Linked DNA regions of Notamacropus eugenii. The protein of the gene in region 2 purifies or fractionates together with the protein of the main gene of each other region. This does not show direct contact. Links are inferred from orthologs where the notes say so. Each region holds a gene or a part of one and is shown on either strand. Other genes may lie near its edges.

Region 1 (10,750 bases), on a different chromosome or scaffold from region 2:
GGTTGATTTGGCTCCAAGAGCCAACAGGGTAAAGGCAGTGAAAATGCTCAGTGGAGAGAAGAATATATTGGTGGTGTTGGACTTAGAAACCAGCGTCCTGTAGAGATTGATGCCAAAATCAGCCATATAGGGGGAAATTCTGTGACTAGCAGAGAGTGGGTGTGCAGTGTCTTTACTGTCTGGTAACTCCTCAGCTAGGTGACCTGGAACCAGGCTGCACAGGCCAGCCAAAATCAGGCAAAATTTCAGAGAGAACGCCATCATTCTATAAGAGAACAAGGCCACGCAGTTTTAATACCTCTGCATTCAAATATCACTTAGACTTCTTTCTAGTTTCCAAAATGCCTTCCTTAGAATTGCCTCCATACTCTCCCTGGGGTATTATTTGAATAACTAGATCTATCCCCTCCATGTCTCCCTCCCACTTGCTAGGAATGCTTTAATGTTTCCTATTTATCAACCCAACAATTTGTTATTCATTTGGGTCACTTGTGTCTGACTCTTTGTGACTCTATTTAGGGTTTTCTTGACAGATACTGGAGGGGTTTGCCATTTCCTTCTTCAGTGTATTTTACAGAGGAGGAATTGAAGCAAACAGAATTAAGTGACGACTCCAGGATCCCACAACTAGTGAAGTGTCTGAGGTCAGATTTAAATTCAGGAAGATGAGTCTTCCTGACTGCAGGCCTGGGTTTGTATCCACTAGTTGCCCAATTGAAGTCATACTTCAGTTCAATTCAATTTCACATTTTATTATATTTACTAAAAAAAAATTTGAATATTTAATAATTTAATAAAATAAAATAAAAATATTATTAAATGTTTTCATAGAGACTTCGTATTCTTTAACAATCCACCATCTGACTGTAAGGAGATAGTAGTGTGCTTTATCCCTTCTCTAGAGTAATAGCATATCATTGCCTTTCCGTGTTTAAGTCTTGGTTGTTTGTCCTTACAGTGCTGTGTGTTCATCCTTCATTGCCGAAGAAGACCATGCCATCACAGAAATGGTGACATGATTTGCACTTGACTTTGTTTTTGAGTGAAGGAGGACTGTGCAGGCTACCAGCCTCACTTTCGCCTCCAGATTTATCTGAGTCCAGTGACCAGACATTCATCAGGATGACTGGAGATGACTAGGATGAGGCAATTAGAGTTAAGTGACTTGCCCAAGGTCACACAGCTAGTGAGTGTCAAACGTACTGGGGCAGCTAGGTGGTGCAGTGGATAGAGCACCAGTGGAAGAGTCAGGAGAACCTGAGTTCAAATCTCACCTCAGATGCTTGACACTCACAGCTGTGTGACTTTGGGTAAGTCACTTATTCCCACTTGCCTCATCCTGGGTCATCTCCAGTCATCCTGATGAATATCTGGTCACTGGACTCAGATGGCTCTGGAGGAGAAGTGAGGCTGGTGACCTGCACAGCCCTCCCTCACTCAAAACAAAGTCAAGTGAAAGTCATGTCATCATTTCTCTGATTGAATGGTCTTTGGCAATGAAGGACGAACACACATAGAGGCTTCACAATCAACTTTGGACACAAATATGCAAAAATCTAACCCTAAAGAAGCCCCCTCTATTTCTTATTTTCCATGAGCTTTCAGTGGTAGTAAGGAAAAGTAAACTGGGTGAGATTAAAGAGAGATTGAACAGTTATAACGAGTTAAGTGATAAAGAGATAGAGATAGAGGCAATAGATAGAAAAACACTGTGTATGAAAGTCTGTGACTAAAGTAAAGAATATACCCAAATAAATATGAGGAAATGTGAGCACCGTGTTGCCCCATAGTAGGCACTTAATATATGTTTATTAATTGAATGGTGCAATGCAGAATGCAGTAAGGAAAGGAATTCTGCAGACAAGTTGCTGTGACAAATTTGGGGAAAGACAACTTTTATCTGGGGTGGTAGTGGGGACAGTCAGGGAAAACCTATCAGACATAATGCCTGGCACACAGTAGGTGCTTAATTAATGCAGGCTTATTAATTGATTAATTGAACTTAAAGTAAGTGAAAGGAGAATTCTGTGAATAAGGTTGGAAAAGGAGATTGAAACCTTTAATAGCTAGTTGAGGGGAACTACAGCTTTGGTGCAGTAGAAAGAGCAGTGTAATTAGAGTCTCAGGATTGGGGTTCTAATCCTGCCTCTGATACTTCTTATCAGACTTCTAATTAATTCTCTGTGTCTCTGGGGAAATTACTTAGCCTCTCTGGGCTTCACTCTCCTCATTTGTAAATTGAGAAAGTTATAGGGTATGTCCTCCCAGGCCCCTTATAATAGCTGCAATTCAAGTTTGTATTTTCTGTAGGTCACACTGAGTCAGTGTATATTTTCTTTGAGTGAAGAATGAAACTTCCAGATTTATGCATTAATAATAATACATATATGAAGATTTCTATTTTTCCTGTTCTGGCCCAGAGGGAAGAACCTGGAGGAACATTGCAAAAAGGCAAATTTATTCTTGAGGTAAGGAAACACTTCCTTCAAAACTTTCCTCTCCAAAAGAGGAATGGGCTCCCTTTGGAGAAAGCAGTCTCCCTTCACTAGAGGCCTGGAAAAAGAGACTGGTTGATGACTTATCTAGTATATTATATTGGGGACCTTGGCATTGGTGAGGATTATGAATTAGATTAATCCCTCTGAAAACTCTTCTGATTCTAAAAGATGTAAATTCTGTGACTTAAATTGACCCTCTACCTGGAAGGTCTTTTTTTATCTCTGCCAGGCCAAATCATGTTACCTTAGATCCTACTTCTTCCAAGTTGTTGAAACCATAGTGATGACTTCTCCTATTGTGTTTGCTTTATCTGAGAAGATAGAGCAGTCAATGACATCTAATGGTAAGTCAATGCATATCCTGTTTCTACAACTTGTTTGTCTCAAAGAGAGAGGAAGGTAGTGGAAAGCATGTTGGAACCAGAAGATCTATTTTCTAGTCATGGGGGCTGCCACTCCTTCTTTCATAGAGAAAATGAGGAGGTTGGGTCCCTTTTATTGCTGAAAGTAACGGAACCAGAATCACAGATTCTCAGCTTCAAAAGGGACTTCAAAGCATGACACTAAGTGACAATTATTCTTGTCCTCATTTTGTAGAGATAAGAACCCATGATTGTAGAGATAATAAGTGTTTGAGGCTAGATTCTCTTTAAGACATTTTGTAGAGAAGGTGGCAACCCACATTGGTAGAAGTTTTCTCATTTGGGAAACCCCTACAATTGAAATCACAATAGTATGAGTGTCTAATAATGCCATGGGCAGGTAGGTGGCTCAGTGGTTAGGACCCTGGGCTTGGAGGACTTATCTTCTTGAGTTCAAATCTAACTTCAGATACTCACTAAGTTGTATGACACTGAGCAAGTCAGTGTTTGCCTCAGTTTCCCCATCTGTAAAATGAACTGAGGAATGAAATGACCAACCACTCCAGTATCTTTGACAAGGAAATTTCAAAAGAGGTCCTGAAGAGTTCTGCATGCCTGAAATGACTGAACCACAACAACCAATAAGGCCTGCAGTATCTACCTATAGAGCTGTTGTGAAACTTAATGAGATAATATATGTAAGGCACTATATCAATTTGATTTGATTTATTTATTTGATTTATTGTTTGACTTGAGTTTTTACAACAACCTTTTAAGGTATATTGTGTCTATATTATTATTACCATTTATAGATAAGGAAACAGACTTCACTACAGAGGTCAGGCAAATGATCCAAGGGCACATGGCAAATGTCAAAGCAAAGATTTGAACCATACCTTGGGACCACAAGTTCAGCATTCTTTTTCTCATGGTAGACTGCCAAATAAAAGCAAGTTCTTCATAATCTGTTATTTTTTAAAAAGCTGCCTCAAGACCTTCTTGACAAAGGCTAAAACCTAGTTTGATTGGCTGGTTGTCACAAAGCCATGGCTATGATTATTCCTTCTGAGGGACCATGAACATAGGTCTTCTTCTTCCCCCTTTCTTTGGGAAGGTCTAGTTTTCTTTCAAAGAACTGAAATTCAGTCACTGTATATTCCGTTCTCCCTCACTTCCCTGAGGATTCCAAGCCCACCAGCTCTAGTGCAGACCACAGAGATTGAGGTTTTTAACAGGGGAATACATTACTTACCTCTCCTTCTCCAGAGTCCTGCAGTAACTCACCAGGAAGCTGACCCAGAACCTCTTGTTTCCTAGGGTGTTATTTAAATAGCTAAGTAGTTATGGAAAGGGGTGGATGAGACTCTTCTTCCAGTGAACATTAACTAGCATAACTGGTTATTTGTACAGAACAAACAATGACTAAGTCTGTTTGTCCATTTGTAATCTTGTTCCTTTCCATGCTCTTGCCATTCTCTCACAGTATCAGTTGGGGTGCAAGACGATTCTTCTTCTCATTATCCAAGGGAAATCTTTGACATTAAGTTTCTTGTCTTTTAAACTTATGTTCTTTGGACACAAGATCTTCCTAAAGTTCTAACATGTGTATCTAAATCCACTTTTAAGTGAATGGAGTGGGAAGATTCATATCCACTCTGGAAGAATTCCTACTTTTATTTTGCCTGTCTCCAAATCAGAAACTTCTAATGACTTCATTGGCCTTTGGAGAATGCCTCAGTAACATGTGACACTGAAAGGCTTCATAATCTGACCTCAATCTATGTAGATAGAGGTGTAGAGACACTTTCCTTTTTTTTTTTGGATAGAACAATCACTTCCCCTTCCCCATAGTCCTGTCACTGGAAAACCCACAGAAGCAAAAACATGGTTATATAAAAATATCTAACATAATAATTAGGAGTGATATCACATTTAACATTAAAGTGTAATAATTCCTCATTTTTTTTACAGAAAGAAGAGACATTTCTTTTCAAAATCAACCAGTTAGAATTAACACTGGTCATTATGTTCAGCCTGAATTCTGTTGTTTTTCTTTTATCTTTATTCACACATTTGGGGTTTAACCTATCTCTTTTGCATAATCAAAGCAAATTTTCTCTCCTAAAAGGCAGGTGGACCTACCTAAGGCAGAAATATCACCTGTAAGTAGAGTGGGACTCTGTCAACAAAACCCCATTGGGTGTGAAGGGAGGTTGCTAAGTTTAGGTTCTTATTTCTCTGAGATGCAGCCACAGATCCTGAGGTAGCTGAGATGGGCTGCTACAAAGTTTTTACTCCTGGTAACTGTCTGTCCAGGCTGCATACAAGCTCCTCATCAGAGATCTGATAATCTGGTTTTAGTCTGGAGATGGGATCACAGGGTGTTTCAGTCTTGTGTCATGAATATTAACTGAAACCTTAACAGGAACTTCAGGTCTTCAAAACTTTGAAGTGCTGTGAGGTAGAAAAAAAATAGATATTTTTTTCTGAGTAATTCCATATAGCAATTGGGGATAGTAGTGGTGAGAAATTATGAGCGCAAACTTTGCTTGAAAAGAACTTCCTAGTAGACAGAGGTGTTCCACAGTAAGTAGCTTGACAGAACTGATATCCAGAGAAATCTTGAAAGGGTAGAAAGAGGTGTCATATCTAAAGATGAAATCTAATTGATGTGAATATAAAATCTTACACTTGGGTTTTTTTAAAAAACCAATTTCAGAAAGAGAAAACAAAGAAAGATATGGCTAAAGACCATTTCTTGTGGGAAACATGGGACACCTGAGTGCGATACAAGCTTAATATGATGTAGCAGTGGAACATGAAAGCCCCTAATGGCAGTGTAAATTTAGGCTGCTTTAACAGAGGCTTAATATCCAGAACAAAGGAATTGATATTTCAATTGTTGTACCCTGCTCTGGTCAAAATTCTGGAGGATTGATCTGGGCACCACATTTTAGGAAGCTAAGAGTAAAACTGGAAAACATCCAGGTAGTCTGTCAATGAAAATATTTATTAATCTCTTCCCATGTGCCAAACACTGTCCTAATACAAAGAAAGGCAAAAGACAGTCATTGCTCTCAAGGAGTTCACAGTCAAATGGGACGAGAACTTGCAAAGAACAATGCACAAACACACTATATATGGGATAATTTGGAGGTAATTGATGGAGGAAATTTAATAGATTTGGGGGGAACTGGAAAGAGTTCCCTCTAGAAGGTGGGATTTTATTTATTTATTTATTATTTTTTAAAAATTAAATTATTTTATTTGTTTTCAGTGTTTGACAATCGCTTCCATATATCTTAGATTTTTTTTCTCCTCCCTCCCTCTCCCTTCCTGTGATGGCGTACAATCTTTTACAGGTTCTACACATACATTCCTATTAAATGCATGTTGCAAAGAAGAATTAAAATGAATGGGAGAAGCCATAAAACAAAACAAAACAAAATACAAAAGGAAATGGTCTCCTTCTATCTGTGATCCAATTTCATAGTTCTTTCTCTGGACGTGGAAGGTGTTTTTCCTCAAGAGGCCTTTGGAAATTTTTTAAGTCCTTGCATTGCAATGAAGTGCTAAGTCTTTCAGAAAAATTCCTCACACACTGTGGTTGTTGCTGTTTACAAAGTTCTTCTGGTTCTGCTCCTTTGACTCAGCATCAGATCATATAAGACCTTCCAGGCTTCTTTGAAGTCTTCCTGTTCATTGTTTCTCATAGCACAATAGTATTCCATTACATTCATGTATCATATACCATAACTTGTTCAGCCATTCTCCAATTGATGGGCATCCCCTTGATTTCCAGTTCTTGGCCACCACAAAGAGAGTTGCTATAAATGTTTTTGTACATGTGGGATCCTTCCCCATTTCTGTGATCTCTTTGGGATAGAGTTCCAGAAGTGATATTGCTGGGTCAAAGGGTATGCACATTTTTGTAACTTTTGGCATAGTTGCAAATTGCTCTCCAGAATGATTAGATCAGCTCACAGTTCTACCAACAATGAATTAGTGTTCTAACTCTCCCACATCTTCTTCAACGTTTATCATCTTCCTGATTTTCCTGTTAGCCAATCTGATAGGTGTGATGTGGTACCTCAGAGTTGTTTTGATTTGCATCTCTCTAATCAATAGTGATTTAGAGCATTTTTTTCATATGATTATAATAGCTTCTATTTCTTCTTCTGAAAACTACCTGTTCATATCCTTTGGCCATTTATCAATTGGGGAATGACTTGTATTCTTGTACATTTGACTCAGTTCTCTATATATTTTAGAAATGAGGCCTTTATCACAGACACTAGTTGCAAAAATTCTTTCCCAGTTTTCTGCTTCCTTTCTAATCTTGGTTGCATTGGGTTTGTTTGTGCAAAAACTTCAATTTAATGTAATCAAAATTATCCATTTTGCACTTCATAATGTCCTCTATCTCTTGTTGGGTCATATATTTCTCCATTCTCCATAATCTGACAAATACACTATTCTTTGCTCCCCTAATTTGTTTATAGTATCAATCTTTATACCTAGATCATGTATCCATTTGGATTTTATTCTTGTATATGGTATCAGGCATTGGTTTATGCCCAGTTTCCACCACACTGTTATCCAGTTTTCCCAGGAATTTTTGTCAAACAGTGAGTTCTTATCCCAGAAGCTGGGATCCTTGGGTTTATCAAACAGTAGATTGCTATATTCATTGACTACTGTGTCTTGAGTATCTAACCTATTCCACTCATCTACTCCTCTATTTCTTAGCCAGTACCAAGTGGTTGTGATGATTGGTCCTTTATAATACAATTTGATATCTGATAGGGCTAGGCCACAGAAGGTAGGATTTTAGCTGGTACTTGAAGGAAGTCAGGGAAGCAAGGAGGTGGAGAGGAGAAAGAGAAGCAGATTGATGAAGGCACTACAAGCCTCACCATAAGAGGAGGAGGAACGGGAGTGTCCTGTCCTGCAGATGACTTTAGAGAGAAACAGAAGCTAATTCCAGTAGTTGCTTGGGGCTCAGTGGCCATCACAGGGCAGCTATTGGACTGCAGTAGAAGAGATTCCCTTCCTTCTCTCTCCCTTCCCTCCCTCCCCCTTCATGGGATGAAAACTTTGCTTTCCAGTGTGAAGGGGAAAGGAGCAGAGGGTGAAGGAAAGCATATTATACTTATGGGCAAAGGCCTATTTTGTCAGATTATAGGTTGGGAAGCTGGAATAACTGTATTGATCCAAGGTAAATATTGACCGTAAGTTGAAATGAGAAGAAAGGATAGAGATTGTGATCCCAATGGAGAAAACCTTATTGAAGGTAGAGGATCAAGTTAGATTTCATCAGTTAAAATGTTATTAGACATGATCTGCTTTTGAAACTCTACTTTTTGCAAGAAGCCTTTTCATTTCTAGCTCTAGTGCTATTGATTGTCTCTAATTTATCCTGCATATATCTTGTTTGTACATAGCTGTTGCATGTTTTCTCTCCAATTAGACTGAGTCCCTTGATTCAGGGACTGTCTTTTTATTTTTCTTGATACTCCCAGGTCTCAGCACAGTGCCTAGTATATAGTAAGCACTTAACAAATACTTACTGACCAATTGACTCTGCTTGCTCCAAATGGTAGACCTAACAAAATCTGGTGAAAATTCCAGGGTTCAGTTTAAGAAAGTTTCTCCATTTTTGGAGGGAATTCCTATCCTAAAGCTTCATTGTGATATGTAAGGAATCTAGATTCTTGAAGGCTATGCCAAGAGAACATTAGTTCTGGCAAGTTCTACCATAATGGAAAGACTGGTGAGTTCTTTGTGTGTGGTAACTCATAAAACAAAGCAAAATATAAAGTGGCCCTCAGCTCTCTGCCTCATCCTTCCCACCCTCTTTCATTGCTACTGTGGAAATGGCTGAGGGTTGAATGGCAGAAGCTGGACAAGAGCTGCTAAGAGTCATGACATTTTTTGGACATCTATAAACTTTTATAGGCTGCAAGTACCCTGAATGTCAGATGCCTGTCATATCCAATAATTAATCAGGAGGAACTGAATCACATCAATCTCAACATTATTGCTACAAATCAAAATGGATGAAGGAAGTTTCAGTTAAATGGACCAATAATTCTCAGGGTTTCCTTGGAGAAGTAAGGAAAGGAGTTGGGAAATTTGCTTTTATTCTATACCCCAAAGAAAGAAGAGACCTCTTTTCATGCGATATTTAGTTGTCTCCTCTAAAATGAAAATTATTCCGGTGAATATACCAACATCTGTTGCAGAGGACAAAGTGGTAAAGAAATTCTCCAAAATACAAAACTCTTTAAGAACTTTCAAACTAATATGAAGGTATACTTTGGTTGGAATCAGAAAGTTAGATTCTCAGAGTTGCAAAAACCTTAGGGACCATCTAATCTAACCCACATTTAACTGAGAATGCCATGTACAGCATCTTCTACAAGTAGTTATCCAGTCTTCCTTCCCCTAACTCTTGGGAGGAAACCAATCTTCTTTTGGGTGACTCTGGCTGATGAGAATTTTTTCCTTACTTCAGGTTTGAATTTCTGTGCTATTCTCCTTTTTCTTCTCTTTGGAGCCAACTTGAACAAGTCTAATCTATCTTTCATATGACAGAAAGTGAGTCAATAAACATTTATGTAACACAGTCTACTTGCCAGGCACTTTGCTAAGTGCTAGGATGCAAAGAAAATAAAATAGTCTCTGCCCTCAAGGAGTTTACCTTCTAATGGAGAGAGAGAGCATATAAATAACTTGGTAGATACAATACACACAGAGTAAATTGCACACACACATACACACATACACACACTCCCTGACCCCTAAGGAGAAGATGGAAGGCAGCCTGAGAGGGGGAAGGACTTAGCATCTGGGGGACTGGGTAAGTCATGGAAACCAAAGGGGAAAGGTGAAGAGGAAGAATATTCCATGTGTTGGGGATGCATAGTACAAAGGCACAGGGATAGAAAATAGAGTATTTGAGACATTTTAAACAGACTAGGATTGTGGATTGTAGAGATTAAGGAGGAAAGTAAGGTGTACAAAGAATAGAAAGAGAGAGAAGAGATTATGAAAAACTTTAAATACCAGAGAAGATTATATTTAATTCTGGATGTAATATAGAGGCACTAGAGATCATAGGGTGTGTGTGTGTGTGTGTGTGTGTGTGTGTGTGTGTGATAGAAAGAAATACACTTCAGGTAATCATCTTGGCAGACTTCCTGTTCATGTGACCAACAAATGGAGGACTCAACATTTTCTCCCACCCCTACTAAATCTTGGAATATCCCCCAAAGGAGAATTATTCATCACAGTGAGAGCAAAATGGAGCTATTTCTACAGGATAAAGAAGCAAGAAGCTCAGCAAAGCAATGGCCTCATTAGTTCAGGAGTTCTCCCTTAGTCCCAGCTTCCACGTTCTGGCAGGGTGTTTTGTGATGTGCTGAGCTTTGGGATATCCTCAGGGATGTTTCTGCTATCATATTCTCTACTAGCACATCACCCCATGTCCTCACAGCATTCTATTTCTTTGTTTTGTTTGTGTGTTCATTCATTTTTAACAAACATTTAAAAAATGTTGAGTTCCAAATTCTTTCCCTCTCTCTCTTCCCTTCCCTGCCCATTGAGATATCAGTTATACATGTAAAGTCATACAGAACATATATCTGTATGAGCGATGTTGCAAGAAAAAAACAACCCATAAAAACAAGAAACACGAAGAAAGTGGAAAAATTTATGCTTCTAACTGCATTCAGTTTTCTCTCTGGAGGTAGCTAGCATTTTCCTTTGGAATCATATGTAATCATTGGATTGATCAGAATAGCTAAGCCTTTCACAGTTGATCATCCTTACAATATTGTTGTTACTGTTTACAATGTTTTTCAGGTTCTGCTCACTTTGTTTTGCATT
Region 2 (10,026 bases):
ACCACACTATCCATAATAATGCTTGCAATTAGCGTCTCAATTTTCTTACATACAAAATAGGATACTGGGCAAGATGACCTCTGAGGTCCTTTCCAGCTCTACTCTATGATCCTCTGACCTACCTCATAGGATTGGTAGGAAGAAAGTGCTTTTTTAATCCTTTGGTGGGTCCCTGGCCTATGATTTCACTGGTATAGTAGAAGTCCGTGTAAGGAAAACTCCCTCCACCAATGTAAATTTGCAACTGTAGCTCTTAGGGAGTAATTTAGGTTAACTGAAAACGGAAGTGATTTGCTATGGATTACAAAGTTACATGTCAGAGACAAGACTTTTTGCTCTGTTATGTCTCACTTTGTAATTCTTAAACAGTTAAATAAATGAAAGCCTTATTAACAGCAATAATAATATCAATTTTACATCCTCCCCTTGCCCCAGTCTGATAGCAAAGTTTTCACTGTATGTCTGTAAAAAAAGTGAGTCAAACAAGATTGTTCACTTTTCCTCCAGTGAAGTCTTCAAAAAGAAAATGGAATTTCATCACCAATATTAGCCATGCTAATGATCACCGGGAGAAATGAAAAGCTAGAGAAACATGAGGATGGTACAGAGGAAAAAAGAAATCGCAGACACTATATGCTACAAGCCTGAGAACACAGAGCAAATTACAAGTTAACGAGACGTATTAGTCTAGACTAGCACCTGTGGCAAACACATTTATGCTGCACCAAACCAAGTAAAAATAATTTACTTTTACCTAATGTTCCAAACCAATAAGCTACAGAGAAGAGAGCTGTAATTAAAAGGATAAGCAATTGATTTTAAGTTACAAATGGGAATGAAGTGTCAAACACAGCTCACAACACTCCTCAGTGTGGCTACAATCAGATTAATGTAATAGAAAAAATTTAACTGAATAAAAATATAACAGAACACAAATAATGGCAATATGTAGCTTTCCTAGTCAATATGCTGCCAGCAGAGATTCTTATGTACTTGGTCCCTGTTTCTACTTGAGTCTGACACCAGTTGCCTAGAGGATATCTGAGGTCTCTTCCATCTCTGTAACAGTAACAGGGTGGAGAATACAAAACATGATAAAGTAGAAACAGCAATAAACTGAGTGGCCCTGACCACTTTCCAAGGCCTCACTTTCTTCATCTGTCAAATGAGTAGACACTCAATAAAATTTTTCTGAAATTCCTTGGTGATGGGGGTGGGGTGGGGGAAACATATGTGAGACTTTCGTTTTCAAGAGTCAGATCAAGATATGCGTTGTGCCTTGATGAGATTTTAAAATCTGAATATATCTCTCTATACTCACATACATACACACACACACACACACACACACACACACACTCTCTCTCTCTCTCTCTCTCTCTCTCTCTCTCTCTCTCCACTCTCTACAGGTGATCCACCAAATAAGCTAGGAAGCATTCCTCTAGGAGGAAAGCCTTTCATAATCTGGTCCCTTCCTACTTTTCAAGTGTCTTACTCCCCTGAATATACTGTATGATGCAGTGACCTTGGCTCCTGGCTGTTCCTCTCAACTACACTCCATCAGCCTTCTACATATTATCTTCACTGGCTGTTCTCCAAGGCTTGAACACCCTCCCTCCTCATCTCCACATCCTGACTTCTCCAATTTCCTTGAAGTCTTAGCTAAAGCCCCACTTTCCACAAGAAATCTTTCCCAGTCCTCCTTCATCATAGTGCCTTCCTTCTGAGATTACTCCCAATTTATCCTGTCTATATCAAGGCTCCACATAGTTGTTGTATGCATGTTGTCTCCATCCTTAGACTTGTGAGGTCCTTGAGAGAAGGGACCATTTTTGGTCTTCTTTTGTAACCCTAGTGCTTAGCACAGTCTGGTGTATAGTACGATCACAATAAATGCTTGCTCTGCTCCCTGACTGACTTCTTTTCTTCAAGTAGGGGACAGACAGATGGACTCACCACGGTTTTCTTGGTATTCTGCATGGTTTGATCCATGCTTCAAGAATTTCTGAGTGAAGGACACAGCCAGTAAGAGAGACAAGGTGGGGTACGGTATACTAGGAGTCATCCTGAAAGTGACTGGCATGCAGTAGCCTAGGCCCACTGGATTACATAAAAAATGAACTTTGGTTATACTAACTCAATTCTGCACCAAATGTTTGATAAGGAAGAATATAGGGTGGAGAAGTGAGTCAAGGGAAGGTGTTTAGAGAAGGTGTTTACATGTGACATACAAGTCTCCTCTTCACCTCCTTCCTAATTTCATCCCCTACTTAAGAGTCCATATTACCACTTTTTTCCTCTAAAAGCACAAAATGAGCAAGATTAGGTCATCAAATCAATCGGTTTTAAGTTGTTTTTGTTTTGGGGAAGGGGAGGCAAAGAGGAACAGAGCCAGAGATCCATAATATCTAAGTTTTCAACTCCCTCTCTACAACTTACAAATTTAAGGGCCATTTAGTAACCACAAATAGACTGTATGTAAGCACATCTAAGTGCCAGGCACTGTGCTGTGATATGGAGATAAAAAAGACAAATGTGAAACATTCTCTGTCCTCAAGAAACTTACATTCTAATGGGGAGAACAATATTACTATACTTATGTACGTATCTTAAATATATACAAAATAAAATAAATACGAGGTAGTTTTGGGAGAGAGTACATTAGCTGCCTAGGCCCTAGGGAATCAAGACAGGCTTTCTAAAGAAATATATAGTGGTCATTCACTATTTGTTGATTCTTAAAGCAAAAATCAAGAGAAACAAATTTGGTCATTAGCTGACAATGAAATGGTAACACTAGGTAAAAAGAGAGGAATGCCTTTATAACACTGGAGGTAAGAAAACTGACTATACATAGCAAGTGTTATATTAGATTTTTACTGTTGAGAAATACCATGATGTAATTTCAGGGGTATCAAATTCATGGTCTGAGGCCTGCAAAACTCCCCAGCGTGGCCTGAACCAGAATAAAACGTACTTGGTTAATGTTTAACAGAACATAAACACAATACAAAACAGATAAATGTTAACTGTGATTTTCTGTCTCAATATGCTGCTGCCAGGGAATCCCTTTCTTTTTGAATGTGACACCACTAGAGTAAGAGAACTTAGGTTCAAACCCCAGTTATGCCATTAACTAGCTGTGACCAGGAGCAAGTTACCTAACCTCTGAGCCCCATTCCTCATCTACAAAATGGGGATAACATTTGTAGTATGTAATCTAACAAGAGTTATGAGTGAAGTGTTATATCATGTCAGTTATCATTATATTTCAGAGAATGTGATGTGACCAACAGTAAATTAGAATCCACAGAATAAAAGATTCTACCATATAACTAGGAAGCTAGGTGGCACAGAGGATAGAGTATGTCTGGCATGGAGTCAGGAAGACTCATCTTCCTGGATTCAAATTCAGCCTTAGACACTTACTAGCTGTGTGACCCTGGGCAAGTCATGTACCTGTTTGTCTCCGTTTCCTCACCTTAAAAATGAGCTGGAGAAGGAAATGGCAAACCACTTCAGTATCTGCCAAGAAAACCCCAAATGGGGTCACTAAAGAGTAGGACACCACTGAACAACACCATATTAGTGCATAAACGTCTTAACACCTGAAAGCAGATGAATTTCTTCAAAAATGCTGATATCCACATCAGAATCTGATTTCTCCTGTGTATCCCTCATGATGTAATCACATCTGCTTTGAAAATTAGTGGCACCTATCAAAGATTTCTTCCAATGGAACCTTAAGTTGAATCTAAAGAAACTCACAAGACAAGATAAAATAACAAAGTGCCACCCACATTCACCCAAGTGAGGACACGGGCTCCCAAATAAGCCCAAAGCCTACACCTCCTCTCCTCCTTCCATCTGGCAACTATGATACTTTAGGCATCTGGGAAACAATCCCTTGGGAATTGTCACCATCTCTTAATTTCCTCTTTTGTGTCTCTGGGGCTGGAAGGAGGGAGAGAAGGAAGAAAGGGAAGAACACCGTAGTTCATAAAATCACCCAGTCTTCACTAATGCTTTACTCTAAATCCTGTGAATATAATCCAATTTAGGAACGTCCTAGACTACTGAGCAGATGACCCCATAACATGCGTTGTGTTTGGAAGATCTGATTAGTCATCAAGCTGACACGATTTAGGATAGCAAAGGTCCAACCAATTCAACTTCCTCATCTCACTGATGAGGAAACTGAGGCCCAATATGAATTAGGATTATCCAAGGTGGCCCAGATTTAAATCCACGTGTTCCAGTGCTTAAGTCCCAAGACTTTACAACACGCTGCCTCTCTGGGCTGTTATCCATTTTGATTACTTAGGCCTTATTTTACTGAACAGAGGAAAAGGAAATGAGTTAAAGAGCGAAAATCCTCAAGGAATAGAAAATCAGACCAACCTTTGACCTCTCCATCCTATTCCCTAGGACTTGACCCCACCCTACGCTCTGAAGCCTACGTTCGCACACACGGGACTACAAAGCCCGTGATTCAAAACGCGCCCAGACCCGAGGCCGCCGGGCTCCAACCGCCGCAAAGTCACCTGGTATTTGTAGTTCGCGCTTCCCCACCCCCTCGTCTTCTCCCTTTCCCAGTCCCGAGGTGGGCCGATACCTGGAAGTGGTAGAGGAAGGCGTCAGGCCAGAGTAAGAAGTAGCTTGGGTTGATGAGGCCGAGTTTGCCGACGAAGGGTACTACGATGGCGCCGGCGAACCAGTACCGCGTGATGATCGGGATGCTCCTAAACCAGTCCCCGAGATCCGACATCTTAGCAGCTCCGGTTCACGGAGACCAGCAGCGTCGCCGACTCCCCGCCCCCCCGCCCGCCCCCGCGATCCGCGGCCGGCCCCGGCTCCGGCTCCGGCTCCGGCTCCGGCTCCGCGAAGATGTGGAGGCGGAAGCCGCGGCAGGCGGCGGAGACAGGCACAGGAGGCGGAGACCAGCGGGTGCAGCCCCCAAGACGTGGCGGGGCCGAATTCGGAGGTGGAGAGCGGCGGGCGGGGTGTTCCGGGAAGGAAACTTCCCGTTCCAACTCCCGGGGCAACGCAACCGGAAATCCCACCTCTTAAAGGGGAAGCGCAACCTTAAGGCTTGGAAGGGCGACTGGAGGTGGGGCGAGAGGGAGAAGGGGCGGGGAACAGAGGTCGTCTGGAGCAACAACGTCAGATGTGCCAGCCAATGGCAGGGCCGCATTCTTTCCCTTCCCCCTCCCCTCCCCTCCCCTCCCATCTCCCTCCTCCCAATCTCCTGGATGGACCGACTTGTGAAAGGGCTAACTTGCGTAGATGAAAATGTGATGTGGTGAGAAAAGATCCGGATTGAAACTAAGGAGATTCTTGCAGTGGGACCCTGAGAAAAGCACTCATTCTGTGCCTCAGTTTCTTAGTCCGTGGGGACGAAATGGTCTCTGGTCTTACTAAGTGGTGCAGTGGTGCATTGTCTTGAAGTCCGGGAGACCTGAGTTCAGATGCTTCCCCAGACACGTGCAAGATGTGTGACCCTGGGCAAGTCACTTCACCCTGTTTGCCTCGGTTTCTTCATCTGTAAAATGAGCTGGAGAAGGAAATGGCAAACTACTCCAGTATCTTTGCCAAGAAAATACCAAGTACCAAATGAAGAGTGGACTGAACAATGTATAGGTATAGACATTTATATATATAGTTACATACATAAAGCTGCAAACATTATATGTATAAAACTAAATAATTTATATGTAAATATATAGTTATAAGTAATTATATAGGTATATACAACTATATGTAGCTCTTTGTATACAACTAGTTTCAAACATAACTACATAACATCTTTATATATATATAGTTACAAGTAAGCATATGTAAAGCTAGTTGTGAACGTATCTACCTATATTTATATGTAACTATGTAGCTCTAAATGTAAAGCTAGTAGCAAACATGTAAAACTATACAATTTACCTATATTTATATAGAAATACATAATTATAAATAACTACATGTAAACATATATTACCATACATGTATATGTAACAATATGTAGCTCTGTCTCTATATAAAAGTAGTTGCAAGGTACTGTATAAATGTGAGCAATTATTATCTGAAGCCTTATTAAATCACATAAAATATAGGATCTCAGGAATGATTCCCCTATCCTTCACTTGATAGCCAGTGGTCAGGAAGAAGAGTCAGAGATAAAAGAGAAGGGGAAGAAAAAATTATACAGAGAAAAGAAAGTAGTTTCATCAGTAAAATGTGATGGATTCTGGTGAACTACAAAAGCATTTCCTCCTTCCATAAACAGTCTTTAACTTTTTGTGAATTTTTCCTGTTCATTCCATTGGATTATACATTCCTTGAGATCAAGGATCGCATGTACTTGTCCCCTACCTTAACAGAATAATGGATCCTAGATCCAAAGGTAAATAGAACTTTAGAGGCCTTCTAGCCCAACCCTCTCATTTTACAGATAAGGAAACTGAAACCCTGGGAGATTTAAGTGACTTGCCCAGTCACCCAGGCATTAAGACTCAGAGGTAGAATTTGAACCTGGATCCTCTGAATCCAGAGTATTCATTAAATAATTGTTGGATGAGTATCTTTAAAAACAAGATAGAATCTCACCTCACTCTAGTCCTGTCCATTAGGATTTTGTGATGCCTTCATAATCCTCTTCTGCCCTATGTTTCTATGAAAACCAACCTGATTGTCTCACTGTAATCATCAACAGCTGCCACTGTATCTTTATTGTTACCTACCTACCCAGAAAAGAAAATTCTTCAGCCTTTTCCAGTAGCTTGTTCTGGAATTTAACAGCCTTTTCTAAAAGTGAATTCTTCTTATATCCTTGTCATCATCAGAAGTATTTACCTGTTATTATTAAGTTATGCGATGGTAAAGTACACTTAAGAAGTTGAAAGGAGAACAGTGATAATTAATGTCAGAAGCTTAAGAGACAATTTCTACTACATAATGGAGCAATGCCTAAGACAGGACTTTCTTGCCTCTAATTGATATTTCCTTGTGATCCTTTTGATAAGTAGTTTGAAGGAGGTGGATCACAGGAGTCTCTGATCAAATTGAAGAATTTTTTTTTAAACAACTAGATAATGAAGTATAAAGGAATTGCATAAATACCCTCCTAGGTGGCACAGTGGATAGAGTGCAGCTATGTGACCCTATTTCTTACACTTATGCCTCACTACTGTGGTCTAGGTTTAAGGCTACAACTCCCATGGAAGCTGTGTGTATTTGTGGAAAGGAGTGACCCTCCTCCTCCTCCTACTTTCCTTCCTCCACCTCTTCCCCTCCCATCTTTGGTTTCAATTCTTACCTAGCCCTTGTCATTTAATGGTTGTGGCCTCAGACAAACTGAGACCTGGGAAAGATCTTAATTTAGAAAGGCCAGGTTTACCCACTGTATTCTGAGCCATCACCAGTCATCTCTACTTTTATCTGGACTCTGATGACTCTGGAAGAGAGAGCATGGCCTCGTTCAAATCCAACTCATCCCCAAGTCAAGACATCGTGTTTGCGATGTCAGTGGTCCTCTCTGAGAATGAAGGACAAATAATAACAATAGCTGTGTGACCCTGGGGAAGTCACTTAACCCAGGCTGCTTCTGTTTCTTCCTCTGTAAAATGAGATGGAGAAGGAAATGGCAAACTATTCCAGTATCTCTGCCAAGAAAACGCAGATGGGATCATGAAGAATAGGACCCTACTGAACAACAACCAAGTAATTTGGTGACAGCTGAAAATCAGCTAGACTGATCTTGATGGTATAAAGACTGGTAGTCTTTAAAAAGCAACCCTGTAAGTTGCGGAGTCTGTAAGTTCTAAGTAAGGAGTTTACTCATCATTTTCCTTGGTATCTCTTTGGAGGGGTGGGACTCTTCCTCCAGGAGAGGGATTCTCTGTCCTCACCAGTGGCAATGGCATCCTTTTACAGAAGCACATGACTGTACAAAACTAAGAGGATATTGCTTTCTGAACTCCAGCTTCCTCTAGGATAAGAGGTTTTGAAGAAATAAAACTGGAGATGAAATCCTGTCACTAGGACACAGCTAAGGTTCCAGAAATGGGAAGGCTTTCTGCTGGTTCCAAGAAGGGATCTGGTTCTTTCTGAAAGAGTCTAGTAGTCCTGTAGGAATGGATTTCAGCTTCTCCAGAATTTGAAGGCATTGGAAACTATAGCTAACTAGCAGAGCAAGGGGCCTTCCTCCCTTTCCCCTAAATCATCAAGAAACCTAAGAGGTCCTCTAGTCCAACTTTTTCATTTTACAGATGAGAACACCAAGAAACAGAGAGGTTGTTAATAAATAACCTCGAATCATTAAATCAGTTTAGGTAATAATATAATGCAGAAGAGTTCAGATAAAGGTCAGGTTTAGCAATTAACAAAATGTTATTACTTCTCACAAGGAAAGAAGGAAAACAAAGCCAAAAAAGAACAATCTCAGTGTGTGGCCTTCATTGTGCAGCACGCAGTGGGGTAGTTTCTGAATGTGGAAACATGCAATGGTTTTGCCTACTGGTCAAAGACCTAGAGCCTCAGTGCACAAACTTTAAAATATAGTTTTATATGAAGAACCAGCATGGTATCAAAGACCACCCTGTAATCCATAGGGCTACATGTAGTTTCTTTTCTGACATCTCTCTCTAGTTTGGTGATCAAGACCATATTTGTCTCATAGCAGATATGAGACAAATATGGTTTGGTAGGATGCCTTCTTTTCCTCTTTTTATAGTTTACAAAAAATTGAAGTTAGTTGTTCCTTAATTTTTGTTATAATTTATTTGTAAATTTTTCTGGTCTTGGGAATTCCTTTATGGCTTTTTCAATTTACTTTTCTGAGATTGGGTTATTAAATTCTCTACCTTTTGTTTTGTTACTCTGGATCTTTTATGTTTTTGGAAATGTTCATCCATTTTATTTATTGGTAATATCATGTAATTGGGTAAAATGGTTTCTAATGATTTCCTCTATTTTCTATTTATCTGTTATGAATTCTTTTTCATTTTTTATTATGGCTATTTGGTTTTACTCTTTCTTGGTCAAATTAACTAATGGTTTGTCAGTTGGTTTTTTTATTTTTGGTTGTTTTTTTTTAAAGAAACAACTCCTAATTTTATTTATCAATTTAGTAGTATTTTAATTTTATTTCTTCTTTAATTTTCTGAATGTCTGTTTTGGAGTTTATTTGGGATTTTTTTATATGTTGTTCTTCAAGGTTTTTAGGTATTTTCCCAATTCATTGAGATGGTCATTCTTTCTCTTTTTTTTTTTTTTAATGAAAATATTTAAAGATAGAATTTTTCCTCTAGGGACTACTTTGATTACATCCCAGGAGTTTCGGTATTTTGGCCCATTGTTGGCATTTTCTTTGATGGAATTTTCTATGATTTCTGTGATTTTTTTCTTTGAGCCTCCAACTCCACAGGATTGAATTTCACCATCAAAGTTTAAACTCTTCAAAGGCCCTTCATTGATTATAGTTTTTTATTAAATTGTGGTTAGTAAAGAACATATTTAATTTTTTGCTTTTCTACATTTCTCAAGTTTTTTTACTCTAGCACACAGTTAAATTTTGTAACGATTCAAAATTATCATATGGCAAGACGAAGTTATCCCCCAGGAGTTCAAAGATGCCTCCATTGTCCATCTCTATAAAAGTAAAGGGAATAAATTGTCCTGCAACAATCACAGTGGGCTCTCTCTCTTAGCCATTACTGGCAAAATTCTTGCTAGAATCTTCCTTAATAGGCTGACTCTTCACCTGGAAGATGGTCATATACCTGAGGGCCAGTGTGGCTTCAGAAAGGGCCAAGGAACAGTCAATATGATGTTGCTGCCTGACAACTCCAGGAGAAATGCCAGGAACAGAACAGAGGTCTACACACAACATTTGTAGAACTGACCAAGGCCTTATGGAAATTATGTCAAAATTTGGCTGCCCAGAGAAGTTCATCAGTATTGTACATCAATTTCATGATGATGTTTGCCCGGGTTCTGGATAATGGACAAAGCTCTCATGCCTTCTTACTCACCAAT

What was found.
Region 1: the proteins of DERL1 (region 2) and alpha-1-antiproteinase-like purify together in Homo sapiens (affinity purification with western blotting; 4 studies listed by BioGRID). This does not show direct contact. The link is inferred for Notamacropus eugenii from reciprocal best matches to the Homo sapiens genes DERL1 and SERPINA1.

The regions. Positions count from the first base shown.
Region 1 is NC_092872.1:364,861,249-364,871,998, reverse strand, and holds the start of alpha-1-antiproteinase-like, read right to left. Parts: upstream 4,252-10,750; 5' UTR 4,113-4,251; intron 266-4,112; 5' UTR 265-265; coding exon 1-264.
Region 2 is NC_092875.1:121,381,223-121,391,248, reverse strand, and holds the start of DERL1 (derlin-1), read right to left. Parts: upstream 5,057-10,026; 5' UTR 4,769-5,056; coding exon 4,616-4,768; intron 4,610-4,615; exon of another isoform or gene 1-4,609. UniProt on the Homo sapiens protein: Functional component of endoplasmic reticulum-associated degradation (ERAD) for misfolded lumenal proteins. Forms homotetramers which encircle a large channel traversing the endoplasmic reticulum (ER) membrane.